Linked DNA regions of Drosophila melanogaster. The protein of the gene in region 2 interacts with the protein of the main gene of each other region in a pairwise test. Each region holds a gene or a part of one and is shown on either strand. Other genes may lie near its edges.

Region 1 (12,293 bases), on a different chromosome or scaffold from region 2:
AAACGTGAAAACGTTGTCGGGCAAATGAGTAAATAAATAAATTTATTTTTGGTAGTGCAACATTTGTGAATTTAATTTGCTGACTCGAATGCGATGCGCGGAATAAAATCCACAGACATCACGGAGGCTACGCAGAAATTTGTGGCTTGAGCATGCAAAAACAAACATTAAATGCGCCCGAATTTATGGCCCATGCACACAGAATGCATTTAAATGCGCCAGCGATGGCGATGGCGTTGGTGATGCCGATGGCAGCCTGCTGTTGTCCATCCTCTGATGCTGTGCCGCCTGATGCAAACTGGGCACGGAGCATCAGGAGCAGCAGGAGCAGCAGCAGGACCCCCATAGTTGCTCCCCTTTTTTCCCGCCAAATTACCGCACATTGCGAAAGTAGCAGCAAATGCAGCTTGTAACCGAAGCAAAATAACAAACACCAACAATTACGAGCTGGACGGGAATGGGCACGAGGATGTGGATGTGGATACGGGGTGTTCTTTGCGCGTCTGCCGCATACATATATTCTCATTTATGTTCACATAATGAGGCCATTTATTAAATTCAATTATTTTGTTGACATCGGTGCGGTACGAAAGCAATATTACAATGTGCTAAGGTAACAAATAACAGAAATAGCCGCTAAACTGGGAGCCACAAAATAGGCAACAGTATCCAATGGACATTACCTTAACCTGGTCATAAGCTACTGTATAGAACTGTCAAAATTTATATTAAATTTAAACTGAAAAGTACTGAAAATAAAACAAGATACTAAATATTAAAAAACGGCAAATTAAAATGAATTATTCTTGTCTAATGCCATTATCGTTTTAAGCTAGCAAAAAAAGATAAATAACTAAAAACTTTCCAAACACATCAATTAAAAAGTTTATAAGGATTTTGCAGCGCATGATGGTCTTGCTAAGCGAAGTGCTAAGCCAAAAACACCAATTGACGCATTATGTAATAAGCGATAGAAATTCGTGTCCAGCACTTGCACCACTAATTAAATTTCACATGCACATATGTATGTCGAGAAAGAAAGTTTCTTGGTTTAGGGTCCAAAGTTTGCGCAATGTCGGCAGCTGCTAAAAATATCAATAAGAAACTAATATGTCAAAAGCAAAGGGAACAACATCTGCTGGGTCACCAAGTTGGGCCACCACTTTTTTTTTTCATCCTGGTGCTGTCCTGGATCTGTCCTGGTTTGTCCGGCGATTAGCACATCAAGCGTTTATTAATAGCATGAAATAAAGCTTTGGCAAAAAGTTTTTTGGTCATTATTGGGCATGAGAAAAGAAAAGGTAAAAGGGCGAAACTTTTGAAAAGTTTTTTCTTTTAATTACGCTTTTTTCCCCCTACGGTTACCATAGTGCTCGGATGGGAAAAGTTGAAACAGGGGTTTTTCCTTATGAAAGGCAACTTTCTACGACGACAAGATAACCTGGCCATTAATGTTAATCCCCACGATGCAATGATACGCGAACAATATATGTATATATATATTTATAGCCCCGTGGCCTCCAGTTCCATCAATTAAAAACGTGTGCCGAAAACCAGACATTTGCTGACCCGACTGCCATTGATTAGCTGTCCAATTCAGAATGAATGGCGACAGGTCACTGCAAATACGTGACCTGTCATGGAAGACCTGGCCTTGACCCCCGGAAAATTGCAGGAGCAAATAAAATTTATGATTTTTTGTTGGAATGGAAAACTGCATTTCAGGCAACTTTAGAAATTTATAAAAAAAAACAACTGTCAAAGCTAACAAATGTACACAACTAACACAGCTCCAACTACCAACTCCAAGTTCTGGTAAACACTCCATTTAAATAAGATACATTTGAAAAAGAATGGTAATTTATCGCAGCTAACTTCGGGTTGGAACCAGTGTGCATTGCCAGATATTAAGCCAGTGCGGTATGCTGTCCATTCCATGACCTTTTCCATGCTTCCCTGTGATTTGCATAGATTTTTCATTAAAGATTTTCTGGGATTTTCGACCAAATACAAAAGAGTTTCCCGGAAGATTGAAAAAATCCCTCAAACAAAGTGAATGGCAAGGGAAGTGAAACCTGATGACAACTTGATGAAGGTTGCCGCATCGATTTTTGAATTAACAGAATGATTCCTTATTTCGCCAGGAGCAACGGATTTCAAACGGACTTCAAATCTGAATCTGGATGCAAAGCTAATTAGGCTTAAAGTTACGCAGTGACTGTGAGTAGAACAAGAACTCACTGGGGAGTGAGCGCATTGGAGTCAACAATGCGTGAAATGTTCCTTTTTTTTCCACTTCCTAACTGCCTTGGGGAAGTCCAACTTGTCTGGGGGTAGCTTTGATAAGCCAGTTATTAGCATTACAAGTGCTTCTCTTTGAAAGGGTATTCCCATGTCTCTGTAGTCCTAGGAGTGTTTTTCACCGGTTTCCGCTTTCTTGGCAACGACATTTACATGAAAGTGGAACTTTTCACTTCTGTCCTTTGCATTTAAATCGAGCTTTGCACGGTTCCGTGTAGTTTTTGGGTAAAATACTCTCCTAATGTCCGCCTCTCGCTCTCTCCATCCAATAGTGCCGCCGAATATAGACGACGCTCTGACCTCCAGTGACATCATCGTGCGCGAGGGCGATAACGTTACGCTACGCTGCAAGGCGAAAGGTAGTCCGGAGCCGACCATCAAATGGAAACGCGATGACGGCAACAAAATCGTTATTAACAAGACGCTCGAGGGTGAGTCCAATCCTTAGACCAGCCTCTGGCTTGCCATTTACCCAGAAATGATTGCAGTGCACGACTTGGAGACGGATTCCCTGGAGCTGGAGCGGATTTCGCGACTGCACATGGGCGCCTACCTGTGCATCGCATCGAATGGTGTGCCGCCAAGTGTGTCCAAGCGGATCAAAGTCAGCGTGGACTGTAAGTCAATTGATATCCGGACTTAGTTGGGTTTTCTTATATTCATATATATATATATTTCGTTTCAGTTTCGCCCATGGTCTGGATACCGCATCAGCTGGTGGGTATTCCCATTGGATTCAACATCACCCTGGAATGCTTCATCGAGGCGAATCCGACCTCACTTAACTATTGGACGCGCGAAAACGATCAAATGATCACTGAGTCATCAAAGTACAAGTAAGTTGAAGTCATCGTGCTATTGTCTTTTCACCTCTCGATTGAGGATGTTTTGGGTTATCTCTTGGCTGGATTATCAGCTGTGGGCACATTATATTTCGCTGATATGTCGACGTTCCGCGGCCAGTCGCTTCCAGCAATCTGGGATCTCGGCTCAGTTTGCTGTCTGCGATGTGGTTGATTGCCTGCCTGTTTATTGTTCCTATTTGCGCTGCTCCAACAACCCAGAATGTCGAGGCGGATCCCAATTCACGGCTAATGAACAACATCCTCAGCTACGTGGCGGAGGATTCCAGTGCGTGCGGCACCTACTTTCAATATGCCTGCGGCAAGTACGCAGTACGTCACCGCGACGATCCCTTCACGGAGATCATCCAGATGCTGGACCACAAGGTGAACGGAAACCTAGTCCAACTGATGCACGAGCTGCACCAGCGCTCCCAGTCACCCGGCTTCAACGAGTCCAGTGTGGAGGCCAAGGTCTTGCACTTCTACCGCACCTGCCGTGAAGCTCCGCCGAGTACACGCAAGATGGAGCACTACCTTAGACTAGCCCCTCCTGGCCAGGCACTTACATGGCCCCAGTTTATGCCCCGCGGCGAGCCATGGCCAAAGGCTCAATTCAAGTGGATGAAGTCCTTGGGACACCTATACCGCTATGGGTTTACCAATGTTTTGGTGAACGTGTTGGTCTTACGGAGCTCTGAGAACAGTAACCGCTTCCGACTGGACATCAGTATGCCTAGTCTCGAAGGGGACGCGCAGCACCTGGGCGGTTTTCTAAGTACCCTCGCCACTCTCCAGATCATTGGTGTGCCGACGAAAAGCATATTACCCCTTGTGCGGAAGATCAGAAGGCTAGAGTCCGCCATACGCGTCCTAACCGAAGTGGACGACGATGATGAAAGCGAGACTTGGACTTTGCGCCAGTGGGAGTACAAAACCGGCTACGCATGGCAGGGTTTCGTCGAGTCAATAGTTGGCCATAGTGTCTCACATCACTACGTGATGCAGGCGCAGAATGCAAAGTACTTCACGGGCCTTAAGCGGCTGATGGACTCCACGGACGCCGAGGTGGTGGCCAACTACATCATGACCCGATTCGTGCTCTACCTCATAGACGACTTTATTGACAGCAATGAGCACATTGATTGCGTCACGGATATGCGCCGCAACATGAATCTGGCATCGAACCTGCTCTACAAGGAGCGCTTCCTGGACCCTGCGACACTACAGCAGTACACCCAGGAAGTTACGAAGGTCTTTGAACAGCTGCGCCGGCAGTTTCTACTGCAAATCAATGAGAATCGCCTTGGGCTAACCAGTGAGCAGAACAGTATGGTTGCCACAAAAGCTCAGCATGTCGTTCTCAATATTGGGAATTTGCCAAGAGGTCGTGACCATCGTAGCTTTGTCAGCCGGCACTATGAGGATCTTGTCTTTCCGCTCCCTGATTTCGACTACGCACGTGAACATCTTAACCTGCTGGAGTTCCGCACCAGAAAGCAGGTTTTACAACTTAACCAAAGTGCTCCGACACCCGATGAGTTCTTCTACTTGTCGGATCCTAAAACGGCCATGAGCTCCGGACCCTACTACCTAATGCGACTAAACATCATCGTTGTGCCACACGGACTTCTACAGGAGCCATTCTTTGCAGCGGATAGCCACGACATATTCAAGTACAGCCTGTTGGGATTCGTACTTGCCCATGAGTTGATGCACTCAGTCGACACCGTGGGTCTTTATTATGACAGATATGGGAACATACACGAAATCGGACCGCAGATATCCAGTTCGCCACGCTTTGTGGCGGGTTTACAGTGCCTGAACCGGAACAGTACACAGTATCTGGACGAGCGTATTGCAGACATTGCTGGACTGGATCTGGCCTATTCCACCTACTTCCAGAACAGCTCGCAAATGAGTCTAACCGATTTTACGACCATTCCGCCGCAACAAATCTTCTTCCTCAATCTGGCACAGTTCTTCTGCGGCGATGGTGATCCAATAAACTTCGTTGGTCACGACAACGACGAGACGCGTCTGCAGCAAATGCTCAATGGGTTCGCGCCGTTTCACGAAGCTTTTGGTTGTCCAGCAAAGAGCAATCAGCCTGAAAAGTGCCAACTGTGGTAACTGGATTCAAGTAGTGCTTGAAATCTACTAGTGTATAAAACTATATTAAACAATAAACTAGATGGATCTGAAAAGAGTTCACTACCCCATCGAGTTACTCACTCACATTTAAAAAACTCTTCGTTAGGTGAGATTTTATTTATTCATCACTGGATCCTGCCATGTCCTGTGGGAGAGATGGAAAGAGAACTATTACCAGATGCGGCACCGCTGGCTGGCCTGCATCTTGGCCTTCTTATCGCACCCGAACTCCCTAGAGAACTCTTCAAAATTGGCCAGCGTCTGCATCACACGCAACTCATCCGCGGCGTGCTTCAAATGAGCCTCCGACTGAGATCGCGGACTGAGCACGGGCGTCCGGCCGCAAAAGAACTGGGCGAAGGTGATGAAGAATAGCTGCCGCTGGCTGAACTGCGGCAGCAGAGGATCCCTGGGCTCCCGCTTGTCCCGCACCCCGAAAAAGGTCTCATACGCTAGACGCAGAGCCACAAAGTCGGCCAGCTTTTCGTCGATCCACTTGGAACCGGTGGCCATCTGTTGCTGAAGACACTGGAGTCCTTGTCGGAACTGACGGCTAGCGCCGATCTCCTCCACGGGCCCCATGATGTTTCCCATGGCGTCGTAGTCCATTCCCAACATATCGAATCCGTGTGCCAGCTCGTGGGCCAGGACAAATCCCATCACGGCGTGCTGCTGCAGGGCGCTAATGTTTCGATGCCAGATGGGCAGCTGGAGCAGACCGTGCGGCACCAGGACCAGATTGCGTGGTCTCACATACAGGGGCGACGAGTTGCTGGCCTCCCAGCTTTCCGACAGGTAACTCAAGTTGCTCCCCGTGGAATTTGCGAAGTTTGTCACATTTATGTAAAGCAGATCGTGGTTCGCCTCAACGCGTTGTCGCAGCAAGACCAGCTGGTTGCCATAGAAGGAGTGGCCGCTCAGGTCGATGCGGACGTGGTACTGCTCCACATCCTCAATTTCCTCCGTCTGAAAGAAGCCCATCTGCAGTCGAACTGCGCGCAGTTTCTGCTGCAGGATGTGCACCAGTGGTGGCGATAGTCTCATTCGGTTCTCAGCCAAGATTTGGCCAAATCGCACCTTCAAACGCTGGAACAGTGAGCTTACGTAGGATTCGGATTCCGGATCGGAGAACTGCTGACCCACCAGCCAGCTACTGGCCAGAGGCATGGCTCTTCTGAGGGCGGCCACGCACTCACCTCGTGAGATGTCCGCGGGTCCCTGTTGCTTGAGGAAGGCCAACCACTTGAGCATGATGTAGCTGCAAACGGTGTCCGGGCTCTCCGATTCCATCAGATCGCTCAGGGCCCTGAGGTACGGAATATTCTCGATGATTAATGTGGAGCGCAGATCCAGCTCGGAGTCAATGCGTACCTGGCGCATGAAGGATAACCATCGTAGCTGTGGCAGGTACGAGTCCAAGTAACCAAGCTGCATTTCTCGTGGTCCTTCGTCGTCCTCCAGCTCCTGCAGGCGGTGCAATTTTCGTTCGAAGTCGTCCACCTGGCGAGCCAAGGCATTGGCCGTTCGCTTTGTCTGCCCAATGTCCAGAAGCAGCTCGATCATGGCACCTTCTCCCATGGGCTGCGTCTCCTGGCGACTCGGCTTGTTCACATAGATACTGTAGTTGCGAGAGTCATCCCATCGCGGCAGTACCTCCTCCCGCAGCAGCACCCCGTTCAGTCCGTGCAGACGCAGTCGCCCCAAGGTCGTTATCCAGTCGAACCGCTCCGGACGCCAGCCCCGACCCACCGATGGCCACTGCGTGGAGTTGCTGGGGGGCAGGAGCTGCAGGTACTTCTTGAGGTTGTACGGCTTAAGGCGTTTGCACGAACGGTAGTAGAGTCGCATCTGCTCCAGAATCGAGGAGTCCGACTCGAAGGAGCTCTCATTCCTTCGCCGCAGCAGCAGCTCCAGCTTCCGATTCACGGAGTGGTCTATCAGTCCCAGGGTGTCGGTGGGCAGCATCTGACCCTGGTACCGCTGCCGATCCCTCGTCCAATCTCTGTCGCGCAGGGAGTGCTGCTCCTGCTGCTGGATCTGCCAGTTGCCGCAGGCGTACTGGTAGAAGTTCTCGCAGGGACGCGCCTTCGTATCCATGTAGCTTTGCAGCTGCTCGGCCAGCATTTCCTGAACGCTCTGGGGTGCGTTGGTCTGGCGACAGGCGGTGGGCGTGGTGCGCCAAGCCAGCGAAAATATGAGCCAGGCCACTAGGCTTAGCTTCAGCATGATGGTTTCGACTGTGACAAATTGCAACTGGCCGGACTACGATTTGCCCGGATCGCGGAGACTGCGGACTAGAGCAGGCCCATCGCCTGTCAGTCATCATCGTGGGAGGAGCAGTGGATCCTAGCTATATATACACACCCAGTACTTGACCACTTGACCTTTCTATTTTCAGGCAAAGGTGATAATTAACAAAAATGCTTTAATAGGTTCAAAGTTCGAAGAACATGATCCTAGAACGTACTTTATACCCCATTTGGTGGCATATTCTTCAAAGCATTAAACACTCGTAAGATATTATAATATTTGACTTTAAATTGGATCTTCAGTACCTGGAGCCACTGTACTTTGTAGGCTAGGTCGCATTTTGATTAGACATAAGTGCGCGCTTATCAGTTTCACCTTGGCCTTGATACCCGATTGTGGGCTGTTGTGGAACTGACCCACAATGAGCACAATGGCTGTCATTGAACTTGCCTCACGCTGATGCCTCCGTCTCTCCACTTTCAGAACCGAAACCATTCCCGGCCATCCGTCGTACAAGGCGACCATGCGGCTCACGATTACCAACGTTCAGAGCAGCGATTATGGCAACTACAAGTGCGTCGCCAAAAATCCTCGGGGCGACATGGACGGCAACATAAAGCTGTACAGTAAGTGACTAGGCTATATGTGTTATTTATACCCTTTGATATTGCGCCACTGTCATAGGCAAATGTATATGTACACCCCTTTTTAAATGGGCGCCAGTATTTTGGGGGGTCTTTAAACTTGAAACTCCGACAGTTCCTTGATTCCAAAGGAAGCAGATTGTACTGTTCATTTTATCAGGATTTTTGGTGCCCAAATACTTTTTAATATACAGCAAGATTAGATTTTGATATTTAATAAGGAAATGACGCGTTTAATTTGTCTCACCGACGTTTTTCTTCATATCCTTGCCGCCGTCAACGGGGCGTATGCGCAATCCTCACAACCGGCAATTAGAGCCACTGTAGTGTCAATAAAGTGTCAATATTGTGTCAATTTGCTAAATTACTCCCCAGTCACTGTTTGGGCCATTAAAGCTCAGCTCGGCAGCAGCGATTCCGATTACAAAAGTTCATAAAACAAAATAAAATGCCCGCTTGTTGGTGGTGAGGTTGTGAGGTGGTGACAAGAGCCCAACGCCACCAAGAATGGCGAATGTGAAAAGACAACTTAATTTATATATACACGGTTTTCATTCTGCTGCCACAACAATGGCCTGTGTAGCCCATCGAAAAGTGGGCGTCATTCTACCAATTAAAGGTAACAATGGCCGCATCGATAATAGAAGGGGCAGCTCCGACAATGAGAACAATGAACCTGTGACAATTTTATTGAGTGGTCAGGAGGCGATACAGTCGCAGAAAGGCGACATCAACCAGGCATTGGAGTGGGCTATAGTTTCGTGATTCCCAGCCGAGGCAAGGCCAAGTGTCAAGCCCAATAAATTTCCTCTACAAATTGTCTTCAATAATGCCAACGGAGGGCAGCCAGCCGAGAAAAGGAACCGAGAGTTGTTAATCCTCCCCGGGGAGATGGCCAAGAAATTGAAAAGAATCGGGGGGGAAGGGCGGGCAAAAGGGATTGCACTGAATTTACGATGGCTGATAAGTGAAGACAATGCGGCTGGGTAACCGAAAATATCTGTTTAGAAATCGAGCAAAGGAGTTTCGGCACTGATGGGGCGCACATTTTTGGGGCAGGACTGGCTTATAACTCACAGTTAATTTAAGTTGTTTATGGATTGTTTCCGATTGAGCAATCCACTTTTGTTCGGTACCGTTTTTTGGCGCAGACATCACGCTCTTACCCCTTATTTTAATTACTACACTGACAGAAAGTAGATAAAATAATGCAAAAAAAATGTATAAAAGAAAAAGGATTCATTTCTGACATGTAGCGTTACACTTCCTTTAAAGTTCCACTTTGCGATAGCTTCTATTTATTGAATTATTTCTACCACTCATGTACGCCAATATTTCTCTACGTGTAGTGTCGAGTCCGCCGACAACACAACCGCCGCCCACAACCACAACGCTGCGGCGGACGACAACAACCGCGGCGGAAATCGCACTGGACGGCTACATCAACACGCCCCTGAATGGCAATGGCATTGGCATTGTGGGCGAAGGACCCACAAATTCGGTGATTGCGTCCGGCAAATGTGAGTAGTGCCCAAAAAATGCATAGGATGTTGATGTTGGCAGAACAAATGAACACGTTGCACTTTTCATTATCAATTGCAGCGAGCATTAAATACCTATCGAATCTGAACGAGATCGACAAGTCGAAGCAGAAGCTGACGGGCAGCAGTCCCAAGGGATTCGATTGGTCCAAGGGCAAGAGCAGCGGGAGTCATGGCAACCTAATGGCGTCCAGTTGGCCCCTCATCTGCTGCATCCTCGCACTGCTGACGACACACTCGTGTGGTTGAGAACTATGTGCGATTCCATTTTAATAAAGTGCCATTACAAACAGTCGAAATGAAAGGTGTTCGAAGCCGATGCATACGATTAGCCATAACAACTGTGTAATTAATTAAGCGAATTGCAATTTGCAAACGTTAACGAAGTCAAGCTTTGGTTTTCCCCGAAACTCCCTATGCAGCCCATTAATATTTGATTACGTTTGGTGGCGAAAACCACAGCGTGTTTTTAGGCAAACAAAGTTACCAAATTAATCAACCTCGCATATTTGTTTACCATTCGTTCGGAAGCACTCTAAAATATTTTCTAAAAATTCGTTTGGTTTTAAAACCACTATACCATCGGTGAGGGTATGCGAAGAATGTTGTAAAAAGCATTTCGGCAGGGCCAAAGCAAACATGCGATGCAAACCAAAGCACATAAATCCTGGTTAGTTAGATATAAAATCAATTAATTTGCATAAATACAAGTGGGAAAAAATAGTATACCCTTCGAATGATGCCAAATTGTTAAAAAGAGAGCACTACTCACTCACCTCCAACTGTAAATAAGCGCGTATATGCATGGATAAAACCCCAAATGCAATTGTAAATTATGTACTCGTTATAGGCACTAGAAATGAATGTTCATTTGTACGAGAGTAGGCATCAAACCATTTCAAAACTAGATATTTAACGGGAAAGCGAAAGGCTTAAATACTCTGAAAAACAGGCACCTAAAATGCATTAATCAAAAACCATTAACCTAAATAAGTAACTAAGCAAATATGAATTACGAATATTCACGATTGAAGCGAAAACTGTTGATACATAATTTAGTTAGCTGATCAGTTAAGACGGGTTTACAGTTGAGAAATAATCCAAATAAAGCCAAATCCAAATATGTAAGTTCTAAACTACTCATACAGAAATACATATATATATATATATTTAAATACCTACATATATCATAGGCCTTAGTTTGTGTTTCTTAACGATAAGAGTGATAATGTATATTTATTAACTTGCTCCCCGAGCGGAACAAACTGGCACTGCGAAAGAAACAAATAAAATATCTATGTATTTGGGATTGCTTCTTAAAACTTAAGCGACTTTTATTTCAGTAATCTGTGGTTCTTGATATTGACCAGTGGTACTTGTGCAAAAATATAACTATTATTTTTTATTTGAAAGTCAAAAGAATGTCGACGGGACTTTTATTTTATGTTGAACAAGTAACCATTTATTGCATTAATAGTTAGTACTTTTCTCTGATACCATGTTTGCGCAGCACTTTTGCACGTGAAATTGTTATTGAACCGAACCCAGCAACTCCTTTTGGCCCCAAACGGATTCCCTTGGCCACTGGATGTGCACTAACATGGTATCCTTGGCCAGGAATGTCTGAAGTTGATGCAACAGGAGCATTTGCTTGATGAGAGCAAGAAAAAGAAACCATGTGCTTGCAGGAAACGTGATGCTTGCCAGACTCCTACGTGTCTGCAGGATAGCAAGGAGCTATGCCCTCCAGAACCCCTGATTTTGTTGGACTCTGCATGCCCAAGGAAATACACTGAATGGCTTTAACTTTTCTCTTTAAAGTTTATTATCTAAAATCTTTGTAACATTATATGTTAATGTCTAGGAACTAATTGTTTATAAAATCTTAAAATAAAGTCAGATCCCGATGAGGTAGCACCATCGCTCAGACCTCCACGGCCCTCCGGTCCATCAGGGTGTCGAGAATCTTGTCCATGTGCTCGCTGCAGTTGGCCAGGCACACATCCGCATACTCGCTGAGGAAGTACATGAAGCTCTCGAGCTGCTCCATCGAGCAGCCGCGGAAGCCATCGTCGCGTCCAATGTTGTCAATGGCCCGGATGATGGAGCGCAGCTTGTGGACATATTGCGGCGTGTTGCGGCAGTGCTCCAGCGAAGAGTCGGCCAGATTCGCGGGCTTGGCGTAGCCACGAATGCGCTGCTCCACACTGCGAAGTTTGGACTGCTGCTGCTTGAGGGTCTGCATCATTTGCGGCACGGACATGGCGGGTGTGGCGGCAGAGGGAGGAGCCTTGGCAAACAGCTCGTCCAGGGGAACCGCCTCGTAGTCCAGGGAGAAGAGATCAGGCGAAAAGGACAGCCTACCACTGTTGTTGCCGAAGCTATCGGACTCGAACTCCGTCTGATCCAGGTCGCTGGTCTTGATCGCCTGGTTGGCACTGATGCTGCTGTTGGGCCAGGAGTACTTGCTGCGACCCTCCAGGCCATTGCTGGCACCTGTCTGCAGACCCACCAGTATGCTGTAGCTGCTCTCGATGGAATACTTCTGGGTGGTGGGCCAG
Region 2 (13,409 bases):
GATTTATGTGACATTTGCTTCCTTAATTAGTTTCGCGACTTTCGCCTGTCACGTGCCCGGATGACATTATCCAAAGCGTAATTATGCGCATATCTGTCAGATACAGATACTTTTACAGCTGGCACACAGGTAATAGAACGCCGCCCGACTGAGACAGCGATAGTGGCGAGGCGTATCTTATCGGACTCTGTGCGTCGAGCGCTTATCACATGGCCCTTGACACACCTGTCCGCCGCTCCCGCGATCCGCGCTCTTCCCAGTCGCCGATAAGTCTTGGCCAAAAGCTAGCGACGCGCCATATTATGACAGTTGGCCTAAGGCCTTTTCATGGAGCGAATAACATCGCCGGTGCTCGCGTATCCACGTGGATATACCGAATTTTCGGATCACAAAATGTCGAATATACCGCCGTATTTGGTGTTCTTCTTCCTGGCCTTCATTTCCTGTGCGGTCACCTTCTGCTGCCTGAGATTCTGCATTTGGGTGTGCTTCGAGGCCAGGGATTCCAGGAGTCGCAGACGCCGACATGGTACGCTTCATTCAAAACAAGCCAAATTTGACTTATTTTCGGTGGCTATCGGACGGTATATATATAGATACTTGGCCAATCAGATGGGTTTCTTGGCCCAGATAAGATTAGCTAGAAATTCGTTTTGCAGAGTTCTCAGTTTTAACTCGCCATTCAAGTGATTCGATTGTGTGTTTTTTTCTGGCGGGTATTGACACAATGGATTTTTTTATTTTCTATGTGGGGCTGTTCTTTATCTTCTTCCTGATCATGCCCATGGTCTATTTCGCTCTTCAGGTATCTGTCCACCACATTTTTGAACCTAACTTTAAGCGAGGGATATAAGTTTCCTTCCTTAGTCCTTCACTCATCACTTCTTTGATATTCCCCCAAAAGTTTATACTATGGATTATTCTGAACAAGTGCTGTGGAACCAATCCTCGGGGATTTCAAGATCCGGTAAGACGTAGACGTCGACGACAACGTCAACGCCAGCGTACTGGTATGTATTGATGGCTTGAACTGCCTCTGATGGCTTGATGTATTGATGTATTGACGGTTTTATATATGTATTGACTAACTGATACAAACAGTGACTGTGTGTGGGTGGGTTTGATGATCAAGTGCTACCATAAATCCATAAAGCCTAGAGTGTTTGTTTTGTGGACTTTCGTGATAAGCTGATTTCGAACGTCTTGCTAATATTGCAAATCAGTAACTTTGGGGGGTCAGTCTTTTGGAGAGCTCGTTGCAAAATGGAACTCATAGCCACTTTCTTTTTACGCCTGCTGATCGGCATCGTGGCCTATGCAGCCCTACAGGTGATCCTTAGATTCAGCAAATCCCTTCGATGGTGATTGGTAACCAAGTTCTGTTCTTATTCCCCCAAAGTTCGCTGTTGTTTGGATCTTGAAATGCTGGTGTTATAGACATCGAAACCATCGAATAGATTCTCGTAAGTTACACTGGCTTTGGTTTGTGTGTGCAAACCGCCGGACCGTATATATGGTATATCTGATATATGGAGTAACATTTATGGGGTAATGCCAACCAAACATGGCGGACAATCTAATCTTGGGCGACTAATCAATTGCGTGCTGAACGGCGAACTATGGGTAATACTAGTGTCTACAAAACGCAGTTGGTGGCTGTAGTTCGGCATTGATTCCTGCTCCGCGTCGTTCTAAGTCTCATCATGCACGGATCGGAGCCGACATTGGATTGGGGCAGCGGCTTCGGCCTGCACATAGCCATCTATTTGGCCCTGGTGTTCTTCTTTTTCTGCGTACTACCGCTGGCCTGCTACTACATCCGCGTAGAGAGCCAAACTCTGGCAAAGATCTGCCAGCCGCGATGTCGACGTCAGCAGAGGATTCCAGAGCACCATCGTCAGCGATACGGCATTGAAATTGGTAACGTGTGCCAATCCGAAAGTGGGCAGGAAGCCAATCTAATCGGTTAGGTTCGGGCGATTACTTTTTGGCCAGTCTTCGAGAATTGCGGAATGGGTCTGACAGCTAATCTGAGCGTCGCGCTGGGCTTTGTGTTTTGCATGTTCGCGGTGGCCCAGCTTATATACGTATGTAGTTAATCCTGCAAGCTGAGTTTATCTTAATGGCTTTGAAGTAAAGAAGCCCATAACTGATTTATCTATTTGTTAGCTGGCCAAGCGAATGCACGACTCAAGGATTCGAAATCGTCGCCAGATACAAGCTGGTATGGAACATAGCCCATTTGGGTCACACTGGTAGAAATATTATCCTCAAAAGTGTTTATTGTGTGTGTGAAATTTGGAGTGCTAATATGACTAATCAACTCGTTTTTAGAAGCCCATTTAAAATGTGCTTATCAGGTCGTGTTTAGAGCAGTGTTTCCAATTTTAATTAATTAACGAATAACAAGGTTGTTGTGTGGGTTAATCAAACTGCACATATACAAATATTTCGAAGTGTATAAAACAACTCTCCTTTAAATGACATTACCCAAATATCAATATGATGTAATCAAGTAATCTTTAATTAAATTCTTATCATTCGTCCTATGAGTTTTATATGTTTAAAGACTTCACTATTCACTATTCACTACTCACTTATTTTTCTTAACCTATTTTCAGATCGTAATGTATTCAACGCACAGGAGGATCCTTCATCGAACCGCTATGGCGACATTTTCTTCATCGAACCCGGCAGCGTGGAGGCCAACCGCATTCGCGATCAACTGGAAAAGGATGAAAAGGATTTACCCAGCTACGACGAGGTGATGCGCATGTGTAACCTGACCACTCCCACAGCAGCAGCGGCTGGAATGCCTGTTCCCCAATCGCCCCTCGGTGTACCCAGTCCCATTGGAATCGCGGCACTGCCGGCGCCACCGTATTCGGAGACAGATCCACATTCCTCGTCCGCCGCAGAAGCCACTGTCATCGCAATGGAACCGATGGAGCCATCCACCTCCCGCGCGGCACAGATTCCACCCAGCTCCGGATCTGGTCCTCCTGCTCCATTGCCAACGACAGCGGTGTGATCCGTCGGAGGCATGGATAAATTGGAACTGAAGCATTCGCCGTGCCACTCTGGGCCACACAGATGCCACTTTGTGTGCGCTTTCAGTACAGAAATGAACTTGTGTGATCTTATTGAGTACATACCTATTTAAGTTCTAGACATTAGGAGTCGCATATTGTAAATATATATTTTTAGGACATAGGATGAAAATTAAAGTGAATTATTTAATTGAAAATAATGACTTTTAACTTTGGGAAAGTTCATGATTAAGTACAATATAAAAATCGGTTCTTAATGGTAAAATACAAAATAAATTAGTTCTATGAATCATGAAAAATCAGTTCTTATCAAAAATAAATAAGTTCCATAAAGCATAAACTCAGAAATCGTGTAATCGACATTATTTAAAAATGAAAAAGTAATGGTTTCTAATTTACATACGATTAACCGCTGCCACCGTATGGCTATTAACCTTAGATTCAGCAGATTTTAAAGCTTACGGTAGACAAGTTTTATTTATTGTAATTAGTTATCAATATGTGTATATGTTTTTTCATCTTGTATTGAGAAGTCAACAATTATACAGCTAAGCGCAGTGTGAATACCGAGGAAATAAATTATAGGTGGAGTTCAGCAAAACGTTGTAGACTATCACATAGATAAACGGTATTCGTGGGATCTAAAGCTATTTACAGAGAATAAATACACTTGTAAGATTATAATAAATAGTTGTACGTAAGTTCGCAACACAATAATATCCAACGAAAAATGCACAAATGAGAAACACAAATCAGGGCCGAAGGGAAATTGTGCAGGACTTGTCCCAATATGATTTAAGAACGATTCGAAACGAACTCGTAAACAGCCAAGTTTTAGATTGCATTGCAATGAGCAACATTCAAAGTTTGTAGAAGCCCGACTTTTACAAAAAGCCTCCATTCGTGATTATTGCTATTGTTTAATCGCTGTTGCTTATCAGCGACTCCTGTTGTTCGTCATCGTTGACCCTAGGCAAGAAATTATGCTGTTAAAAGACAGTTCATATTGCCAGAACACCAGACTCACCTAACAATGCTTGGCTTATGGCACCGGCAGACTTTTCTATACACAATCCTAAAGAGCTTCATCAGTGGGTCGGAATCGTCGTTACGCATCAATAGCGAAACGAACACCAGGGCCACAAAGATGGGTATCGAGCCCATGTAGAACATCGGCGAATACGGTTTGTTCTTCAGCAGGACATCGAACAGGATGGCTAGCGGAATCTGTAGCGACATTGCCAGCGTGCCAATCAGTGAGGATGTCAAAAAGCAGCCCCACAGCCAAAGAGCCTCCGACAGCACAGTGCCAACTAAGCCGTTCAAAAATAGAAGGGCAAACTGCCCTTGACTGGGCAGCTCAAAGGTTTCTATTTTGGTGAAGTGGAGGATAAAGAATATTGGCCATAAAAGCAACATATTCCATAGGCCAACAAAACCTAAAAAGGGAGTCAGAAGATAAGCAGCGATCAAACTCAAAATTTAGCAATTTTACTCACCGAAAAACAATGGTATATCGACCTTCTCCTCCGTATCGCTTTTTCGCTTCACGAAAACCAAATAGGCGGCATAGAAGAAAGCGCTGAAAAGGGCTAAAAGGACGCCTCTGGTCATCTTGGTATCGTGTAGGTCGTTCATGGTGATGGCCACCACTCCGCCAATGTTCATGGCCACCGCAATCACCTTGGTGATAGTCAGCTTGTCACCTGTTGCCGAGGGAAATACGGCTGCCAGGCAGATAATGAAGAATGACGATGTTGAGCTAACCAGTGTTATCATGGCCGCCTCGTCCATTTCCAGGGCCAGCTGAAAGAAGTAATTGGCCGCAAACCAGAGCAGACAAAAGAGTAGCGCAGTCTTTGCCGTTTTGTGGTGTGTCTTTTGGCGCCTAATTCTCAAGCTGGCGGCATACGAAAGCCTGGCCATTAAGGCATCGGTGGCTTCGTGGGCAGACATCTCTCTGACTTCGGCCATCTTGCTGAAGCGCACACTTCTTACACTTGAATCATCGCTTTCGGTGCCCGATATGGAGTTTGAGGTGCCATTGGATTGTCCTCCGGCTCCTAAGTGAGGCGATCTGATGGGCACATAGGTTGGGTCTCCCTAGTAGGTATAGACAAAGGTTACATCTTTTTGTACATAATATATGATTGTATGATTTGCCTACCAAAACAGCCTGATTGGAGTAATAATTCTCGTCATCTGCATTCTGCTCCATCATCTAAGGGAAGAAGAATCACTTAGTAGGGTTTATAATTAGGATATCTAATTACTTACAGCATAGTTTCCATTCTGTCGCTCGCATGACTCTTTCCAGGGAGCCAGGATACCGATGACTAGCAGGTAAATGCTGAACATGGAGGTTTTGAAGTATGTGCAGAAGAAGGGCTTGTCAAAATTGGCCTCATTGTACAGGAACTAGTAAAGTATATCAAAATTCAAACCGATTTCCAAATGTTTTCAAAACAAAATTATCACCTTTGTCAGCTCACTGGATGAGACCCAAACCACATCGACTAGTACCAGTATTGATATGCCCAACAGGAGACGTTGTGTGCGACCTAGCATGATTATTCGCCTGTTTTTCGAATGTTTTCCAAACGAACTTAGCTTCTTTTCCCGCCTTTTGGGGGATGTCTTGCTCCTTCGGTTATCCGTTGACAAATAACTATTTACGCTTGTGCCGCCAGCGTTTTAGTTTCATTGTTGCGGTGTCTTTAGGTTCTGCTTTCAAAAGTGATAAAAGGTCCGTGGTCCGTGAATTTTACACAGATAAACCTTGGGCTTTAGGTAGTCATTTTAGCTAGAATGGAAAAATTGGAGGGAGTGTGTGAGTGCATAAAGTTGGTAGGGATCTGCATTTATTGATTTTTTGTTGACGAGTGGGTGCGGCATTATTCAAGGCGCAAATTACTATTTAACACGTTTGAATCGAATCGCTTTTGTTAGGTAGCAGCAATTCGATTAACAAAGCCATCGGTCAATTAACATCTGCTTGAGCAGATATCTCCATCTAATTTGGGATTATCACCGATCGCGGTGATCAGATAAGTATAAACAAATTAGCAAGATTTCGGGGGGACTGACTGATAAGATATGTGGCTTTGAAAACCAATTGTTTGTTGGGTAAATAAGAATACATTTGTCGAGTGTGGAGAGGGGGAGGGTGGGAGTGGGCGGCAGGTTGTTGATAACAGGCCAAAAACAAAATCAATAAACACAGGCAGCGATATGAAGTCTGAAAAAGTCAACAAGTCTACTGGTCATCACTTAATTGTGATATTATCTACAGTTCTGCGGCTATGCTTGACTTATTTATGCAGTTTTTACCACTTGATTCCTCTTTTGAAGGCGGAACTTTTTTCCTTCCCACTGCCGCAATTGTTTTCTTTGTGTTTGTTTTGTTGAGCGGAAACAATATTTATGGTTTTCTATTTTCTAGGATTTGTCTTAACTCAAGTGGGTTTTCAGATTACACTCTTGGGAGTAATGTGCGTTATAATACTGATATTCTGATTATGATTTTTTATCCGCACAGCTGGACAGAGCTGCTATTAGTGATGGTACAACATCAACCTATCGAAACTATCGATGTATTCAACTTCTTATATCGCATCGATTGTTTTTTGCGTCTTGAATATATAATATATATTTTGTGATAACAATGCTATTATATATAAATGCCTACAAATTCTCTTATTCCATTCCTTTTCATAACTTTCACTAAAGCTGAAGTTATCTGAGAGAAGCCAACTTCAATGCTTCATCAGAAACAATTGGCTGATTAATACATTAATAATAATATATTTAAAATTAATAAAACATTATAAAATAACTGAAGACGTATCGTTTATGGATTAATTAAAAGGCATGGCAACGCTGGTTGCCCAACGTATTTATATCAAAAGGTGGCAGCGCATATGCGAAATTGAAAAGTGTGGCAATGTGGAATAACCGCCAAAACCTTTGGTATTTTAAAATTTCAACTTCCTTTATATTTGCCGACCCATTAAAATAAACTCAATTTGTTGATCCAAGGAAGAATATTTATTCCACGCTTTGTGCAATACACTTATATAAATACATTATACATGTAATACAAAATATTTTTGCTCCTCTCTCTGAGTGTGTGTGTAAAACATGTTGCAAAATTTGTCGGGTTAGCACAAAGATTCAATAATATATTAATTATAAAGAAATTTAAATGCGTTCGATTTCAGTTTTGAAGTATTCGATCGTTCAATATAGCGTAATTTCTTTTTTGTTTTCTTATTTTCGTTTTGAAGAGTACATAATTTTGTGTGTTTTTGGTTTTCTTTTGGGTACTTTTTTAGCCAGCATGCACAGACTGAAATGAAGAGAAAGGAAACGTAAAGTGAATCGAAACCAGGGAATTTATATCGCAAAACAAGGCTCAAATCAAACGAAGGTAGCAAACGAAAGCAGCGTCCTCCTGTCTACAAAGTCTTTTGATTGCCATTTGTTTTGGTTTCGATTGCGTCGTCATTCATTCACCTCGACGAGCTCTGAAGTTAGATAAATTCAGAATTGGAACGTACCCGAGCAATGTCCACGCCGGTTATGTTCTTGACCAGCTCTGGCACTTTGTTGACGATCGACAGAACCTCGCCGGTCAGCTTGGCAGCACCGATATCGCCAGTTCCGCTGGACACCATCGTGATCTTCTTAGCCTGTGACAGTGGAGCAGCCACCTCGGCGGCAACCTGCGAATTAGATTCAACATAGAATAAATTATAGATTCTTTTAATCTAACCATTGACAAACCTTTGGCAGTGTGTCCAGGAGCATCTCCACCATGGCAGCCTCACGGTACTCACGATAGGCCTCTGCCTTCATGGCCATCTGCTCGGCCTCTGCTTTAGCCTTGGCCGCAATGGCAAAGGCCTCAGCCTCACCACGAATCCTGATCTGTTGCAAAGAAGATGGAGATGCTTCAGTTAATCGTAGTCTATAAGCAAATATTTAGATGGTATCTAACCGATTCAGCCTCGGCCTCGGCTTCCATGACCACGCGCTGCTTGTTGGCCTCGGCCAATTTCTCCATGCGGAACTTCTCCGCCTCGGCCGGTCGGCGGATGGTGGCCTCCAGCTCTCGCTCGCGGCGCATGATCTCCTGCTCCTGGACGGCAATCTCCTGCGTGCGCTCGATCACCTTCACCTGCATCTGCTCCTCCTTGATGCGCTGCTTGGTCTTGGCCGCTTGCAGCTCGTAGGCCATCTCGGCCTCGGCCTTTTTGGTCTGCACTTCCACATCGTATGCTGCCTTCTTCAGCTCAAAGTCGCGCTGGGCCTTGGCAATATCGGTATCGTTGAGGAAGCGTGCGGCCATGCGTTGCTCCTCGGCAATGGCCTCCTTAATGTGGGCCTCCGCTCGGGCCTCAGCCTCGCCAATGCGGGCATCGCGCTTCACCTCCGCCGTGCGGGCCATACCCAATGACCTCAGGTAGCCCTGAAAATGGAAATTGAACGCGAGGAGTTAGTATCCCGATAGTTACACAAGAAGCTGAATTTGATGGACGTGTCCCAACGATTCCACGCACAGGCGGTTGGGCGGACATACGCACCTTTGAGTCGCCCTACAGAGGATCCATGTGGACATGCAAGAAATATATATATTCACATATATACAAGAGGTTATTTGAAAAAAGGGAGCTTTGAAGCCGGTACACAGTGATGGGAAAATCGAATAAAAAAAAGAAAATCTAAAATAGAAAATAAGTTTGAATATATATAGAATCACTGCAGAATTGCTAAATAAATTTTTGTTCAAGTATACAAAACCAAAACTAATATATATATAAAATACAGAACCTATTCCCATCACTGCTGATGATTGGGTTAGTTGTGCGGGGAGAGTGGTAAAAAGTAATCGGTTGGAACTACGCACCTCCTCATCGCGCAAATCCTTGATGGTGTAGGAAACCACGGTTATTCCCATGTTGGCCAAATCGCTGGAGGCCACCTCAAACACCTGCTTGCTGAACTTCTTGCGGTCCTTGTAGATCTCCTCCACGGTCATCGAACCCATGATGGCACGCTGATGCCCCTCCAGGGTGACCAAGGCGATGTGGTTGATCTCTGCCTCTGATTTGCCCAAGAACTGCTCACAGGCGGTCAGCAGCATGTCCTCGTTCTGACCCTGGACCTTCACCTGTGCAATGCCTGTCACCGAGATGGGCACTCCTTGGCTGGTGTACACGCAAGGACTCTCTACCTGGAGGGTCATCGTGTTCAACGAAATTCTGGGGAAGATTGGCGGACATTTAACATCTGAGGGCTTGTTATCTTAAGACTAGGGACTCAGATACGAAGCCAGAAATATTAACTAAATATTATCTGATAAAATAAGATTATTTTATTATAATTTAATATATTTTAATAAAACCGAATTCTTACGAATAATATTTCGAATACCCGCGCTTTTTAGCGCCTCCCTAACCTGTGGCTTTTCGTTGGAACCCCTGGTCTAAGCCGGTTAAAACTCACCGCTGAACCTGCTGGCCCACTGGCCAAACGAATGCTCGTCCTCCCGGCACCAAAAGCGGCTTCATGTAGCAGCACCCTGCGCAGAAAACAAACAAAAAACACTTTGTTTACAAAACATTGCAGCATTTGGATAACAGCACCGCAACGCCGTTCAAATGCGCACGCATGGCTTCGGACTGCCGCATATTCAGCTTCTTCCCCTGTTATCCCAACAACAACATTTGCGGTACACAAAAATCGATAGTGACGTCACTTGGGGTGGGGTGTATATATATGTGTGTGTGCGTGACAATTTCATTTTTATTCACTGACTTATTTATTTAATCGATTTGACATTATTTTGAGCATATAAGGATCGTGTGATTTACCAGAGACAACTAAAGCCTCGTTGGGGCCGCAGGTTACAAATCCCCAAGTCATTTCTGCAGCACTTATTTGTTATTTATATTAGAAAATGGGTTGCTGCTGATAACAGCTTTTGTTTTATCTGCGCGGTTAACACAGTTTTCCGATTATTAACTATATAGCGAATTATCCGATCCACAGGTAGCCTTGTTTATTCGTCTAATAATATATATAAAAGAATTTCCGAGGTACTCGGTGCTTAAGATTCAGAAATCCGACCGGTTCGGTTAGCAATTCGTAGCACAATAAAAAAATCTCTCAATCTGTAAAGTTCTCAATTTCTAACTCGCGAGTGCGCAGAACGACTTTAACCCCTATTGAGTGCCGGGGGTTGAGGCGACCACTTCAAAATATTCATCATGCTGCGACGACGTAGTGCTGCGGTAAGTGTCTTTATTGGTTTAAAAATCTAGGTTACATCTCAATTTTTTTTATTCTAATTTACTTAATGACTCATATCATTCAGAAAGATCGAAATTCTTAAAAATACACAATAAATGTAATAAGAAAATCGTCGACACTCATTAAATTTGGAAACCAGATGTATTGCCTAGTTTTTAGTCTTTGAAAACAGAAACTAGGATTTCAAATATTTTTTCCACATTCACACAAACAGTAGATATCGTCTAGGAATTTGAACAATTTTCGGATCTTAACGATACACTCAACATAAAAATTTTTAAGAATAAAACTATTTTACTGAATCAATAAGTATTTTATCGATAAATGTTAATTTGGCAGCTCAAATGGCTATATTAAGTGTCACATTGGTAGGGATTGTCATAAATCAAACCTTTTGCTTTGGTAAATCAAACTAATGAAATTATAAAGAACTTTTTATCTTATACTATAATCGAACTCTACTGCAAGGACATACATATATAATTAAAAGATCTTTGCTGGACAAAGTCTCGCATTTTGGCTTAAGTCTAATCAAAGGTCGTGAAAACAGTGGCTTGGAAAGAACCTTCCGACCTCAATGTCCCGAAGAGCTGCTGTCCGTAAAGTAGGGATGCTGCATCGCCGCCTCCGCGCTAATTCGCTGATTTGGCCGGCAGATGAGCAGCTTTTGCAGCAGGTCGCGTCCCTTGGAGTTTAGCCTAGGTACCAGCTGACTCCACGAGGTGATGGCCGGAAAAGCTATAATATAAATAGGCTTTTAATATTGGTATCGATAAATAAAATCCGTCTAGAATCCCTACATGGAAGCGCCACGTAGTCGGAGAGGTGCGAAACTCCTGGCCAGGAGTCCTCGTTGGGGGTGCCCAGCACACGGAAGATCTTCATCAGCTGATCGAGCACGTCAGAGCCAGGAAACAGCGGTCGTCCAGCGTCCGCCAGTTCGGCCAAAATGCATCCAGCGGACCACATGTCTATGCTGGTCGTATAGAGCTTGGCTCCAAATAGGACATCGGGTGGTCGGTACCACAGGGTCACCACTTCTGCGGAGTAGCACTTCACGGGAATGCCAAAGGCTCTAGCGAGACCAAAGTCAGCTAGCTTTAGCTCGCCGTTTTTGTTGATCAGCAGGTTCTGTGGTTTCAGATCGCGATGCAGGACATTATGGCTAAAATAGGATAATGTAGCGTAAGTTAAGTCTCAATGCTATAAAATGGATATCATTCGGAAATGTGCCACAGATGAAGTTACTCCAAATAACACTTGATTCTAACTATAATCGACACAAGATAAGACCTAATCCAGTGCTGATACATATATAGGTATACCTGTGGCAGAATGCCAGTCCGCGGAGCAGTTGGAGCATAAAGCTCCTGCAGACGGCCATGTCGATCTCCCCGTTGAGGCTGTCAAAGTACTTCTTGAGGTCCTGGTCGCAGTGCTCGAAGACCAGGGTGAGTTTCTTGTCCGAGTGCAGGACGTCTATGAGGCGCACAATGTTCTTGTGCTTCAGCTCCTACGGATGGTAATGTGCCGATTTAGTTTATAAACTGGAATCACTTCCTGCTCGTCCGACTGACCTTCAGCAGGCAGATCTCCCGGAGGGCAGAACTGGGCACACCCTCGTCGTCCTCGTCCAGTCGCACCCGTTTCAGGGCCACTATTTCCATGGTGTCGCGGTTGCGACCCTTGAACACCGTGCCGTAGGTGCCCTCCCCGATCTTCTCCATTTTATCGTACTTCTGCATTTTGCTGTGTTTTGGTGTGTATTATTTTGCGTTCAGATGGAAAACTCCGGGGATTATTGTTTTTGCAGTTTGTTTTTGCTGGCCAGGGATTCGTGCGCCTAACAGCACACTGTTATTCGCTTACAGCACGCGGTGACTAACCAACATCGCAGCTGACAGTCTGCTGTCACCAAAAATACTCAAAATTAACAGATATCATTTTAAAAATGTTGATAAAACTTTTGTTATAATTTTATTGTTTTATTTGGACTCGATATTAGCTAAACATACGAATATAGACCGACAATGATAAACACCGATCTTATGGTACCGCAATGCAACAATATAGCAGAAATATAAGTATACAAGTTTCCTAATTTCTTTTGCCCTTTGCAGAATACCAAGCCTGGCTTACTATGTCTGCCCGATGATGTTCTAATGATAATTCTAAGTTATCTCGACTTGAAGACCCAACTAAAACTGAAAGACTTTCATTTCCGGTTTAAGAAATTAATGCCGTATGTGTGGCGTGCTTATAACAAATGTGCATATATATCCTTGATTGAAATGCAGCTGAGCGACAAGGATTTGCTATTCTTCCTGGAAAGTACTCAACAAATCCTCAGCACTCTGCGGCTCAAAATGAATAATAGATCTAACTTCGAAACACTTACCAGCTGTAGTTTTCCAAAACTTAAAGATTTTCGATTTTCCACGCATTCGTTTAACTTAAACGATGCGGACGTGCCAAGAATGTTGAAAACTTTTCCAAATCTGACAACTTTTAGCCCCCATGGAAAGTTTACTGGCAAACACTTTGATGAATTCGAGTTTCTCGAGAACCTCACGGTCTCCTACTGCAGCAAATTCAATGTCACCAACTTGATACAGATCCTGAAAACCAGAAAAATAAAATCCCTGAAGCTGGGTATCTTCGATATTGACCAGATTTCGAACACAGAACTGCCCTGGAAAGGGATTAGAAACCTAGAGCAGCTGCAGTGCTTCCAGGAGGAAATGATGGTGTGGTTCCTATCGAAACTGGAACGTCTAACTCACTTGAAGAAGCTATTTCTTTGTGGTCACGTTAGATACGGATTTCTGAGAGAGATTCTCATAGCTGCGAAGAGAAGCACTATAAATATGATCGAGATAAGCCAAAATACATCCATATTTTGTGAAACTTACGGTTTAAATGTGGCTATTAAGACCCTAAAGGTGGCTAATTTTGGTATGCATGCGTATCAGCATCTTCACATTAATGTCAATGAATTTTATATACAAAATTCGGTTTGTGTGGACGAAATTAAGTTTCATACCT

The links.
Region 1: the proteins of CG8195 (region 2) and Nepl5 interact in a two-hybrid assay, tested with the Drosophila melanogaster proteins (one large-scale study listed by BioGRID).

The regions. Positions count from the first base shown.
Region 1 is NT_033779.5:6,376,528-6,388,820, reverse strand, and holds Nepl5 (Neprilysin-like 5), read right to left. Parts: upstream 7,556-12,293; 5' UTR 7,524-7,555; coding exon 5,469-7,523; 3' UTR 5,402-5,468; downstream 1-5,401. Other genes in the region: Nepl6 (Neprilysin-like 6), read left to right, coding at 3,309-5,276; DIP-epsilon (Dpr-interacting protein epsilon), read left to right, coding at 2,574-2,732, 2,790-2,918, 2,987-3,137, 8,031-8,173, 9,541-9,711, 9,794-9,981; slam (slow as molasses), read right to left, coding at 11,657-12,293.
Region 2 is NT_033778.4:15,559,194-15,572,602, forward strand, and holds CG8195 (uncharacterized protein), read right to left. Parts: upstream 6,609-13,409; 5' UTR 6,381-6,608; intron 5,854-6,380; 5' UTR 5,619-5,853; coding exon 5,529-5,618; intron 5,469-5,528; coding exon 5,328-5,468; intron 5,272-5,327; coding exon 5,218-5,271; intron 5,154-5,217; coding exon 4,550-5,153; intron 4,490-4,549; coding exon 4,078-4,489; intron 4,020-4,077; coding exon 3,971-4,019; 3' UTR 3,504-3,970; downstream 1-3,503. Other genes in the region: CG12963 (uncharacterized protein), read left to right, coding at 2,622-3,031; Flo1 (flotillin 1), read right to left, coding at 7,381-7,398, 7,610-7,774, 7,836-7,979, 8,050-8,520, 8,636-8,647, 8,959-9,313, 9,558-9,633, 9,926-9,977; CG30466 (uncharacterized protein), read left to right, coding at 10,322-10,345, 12,485-13,409; Cdk5 (Cyclin-dependent kinase 5), read right to left, coding at 10,939-11,102, 11,165-11,529, 11,690-11,877, 11,942-12,109.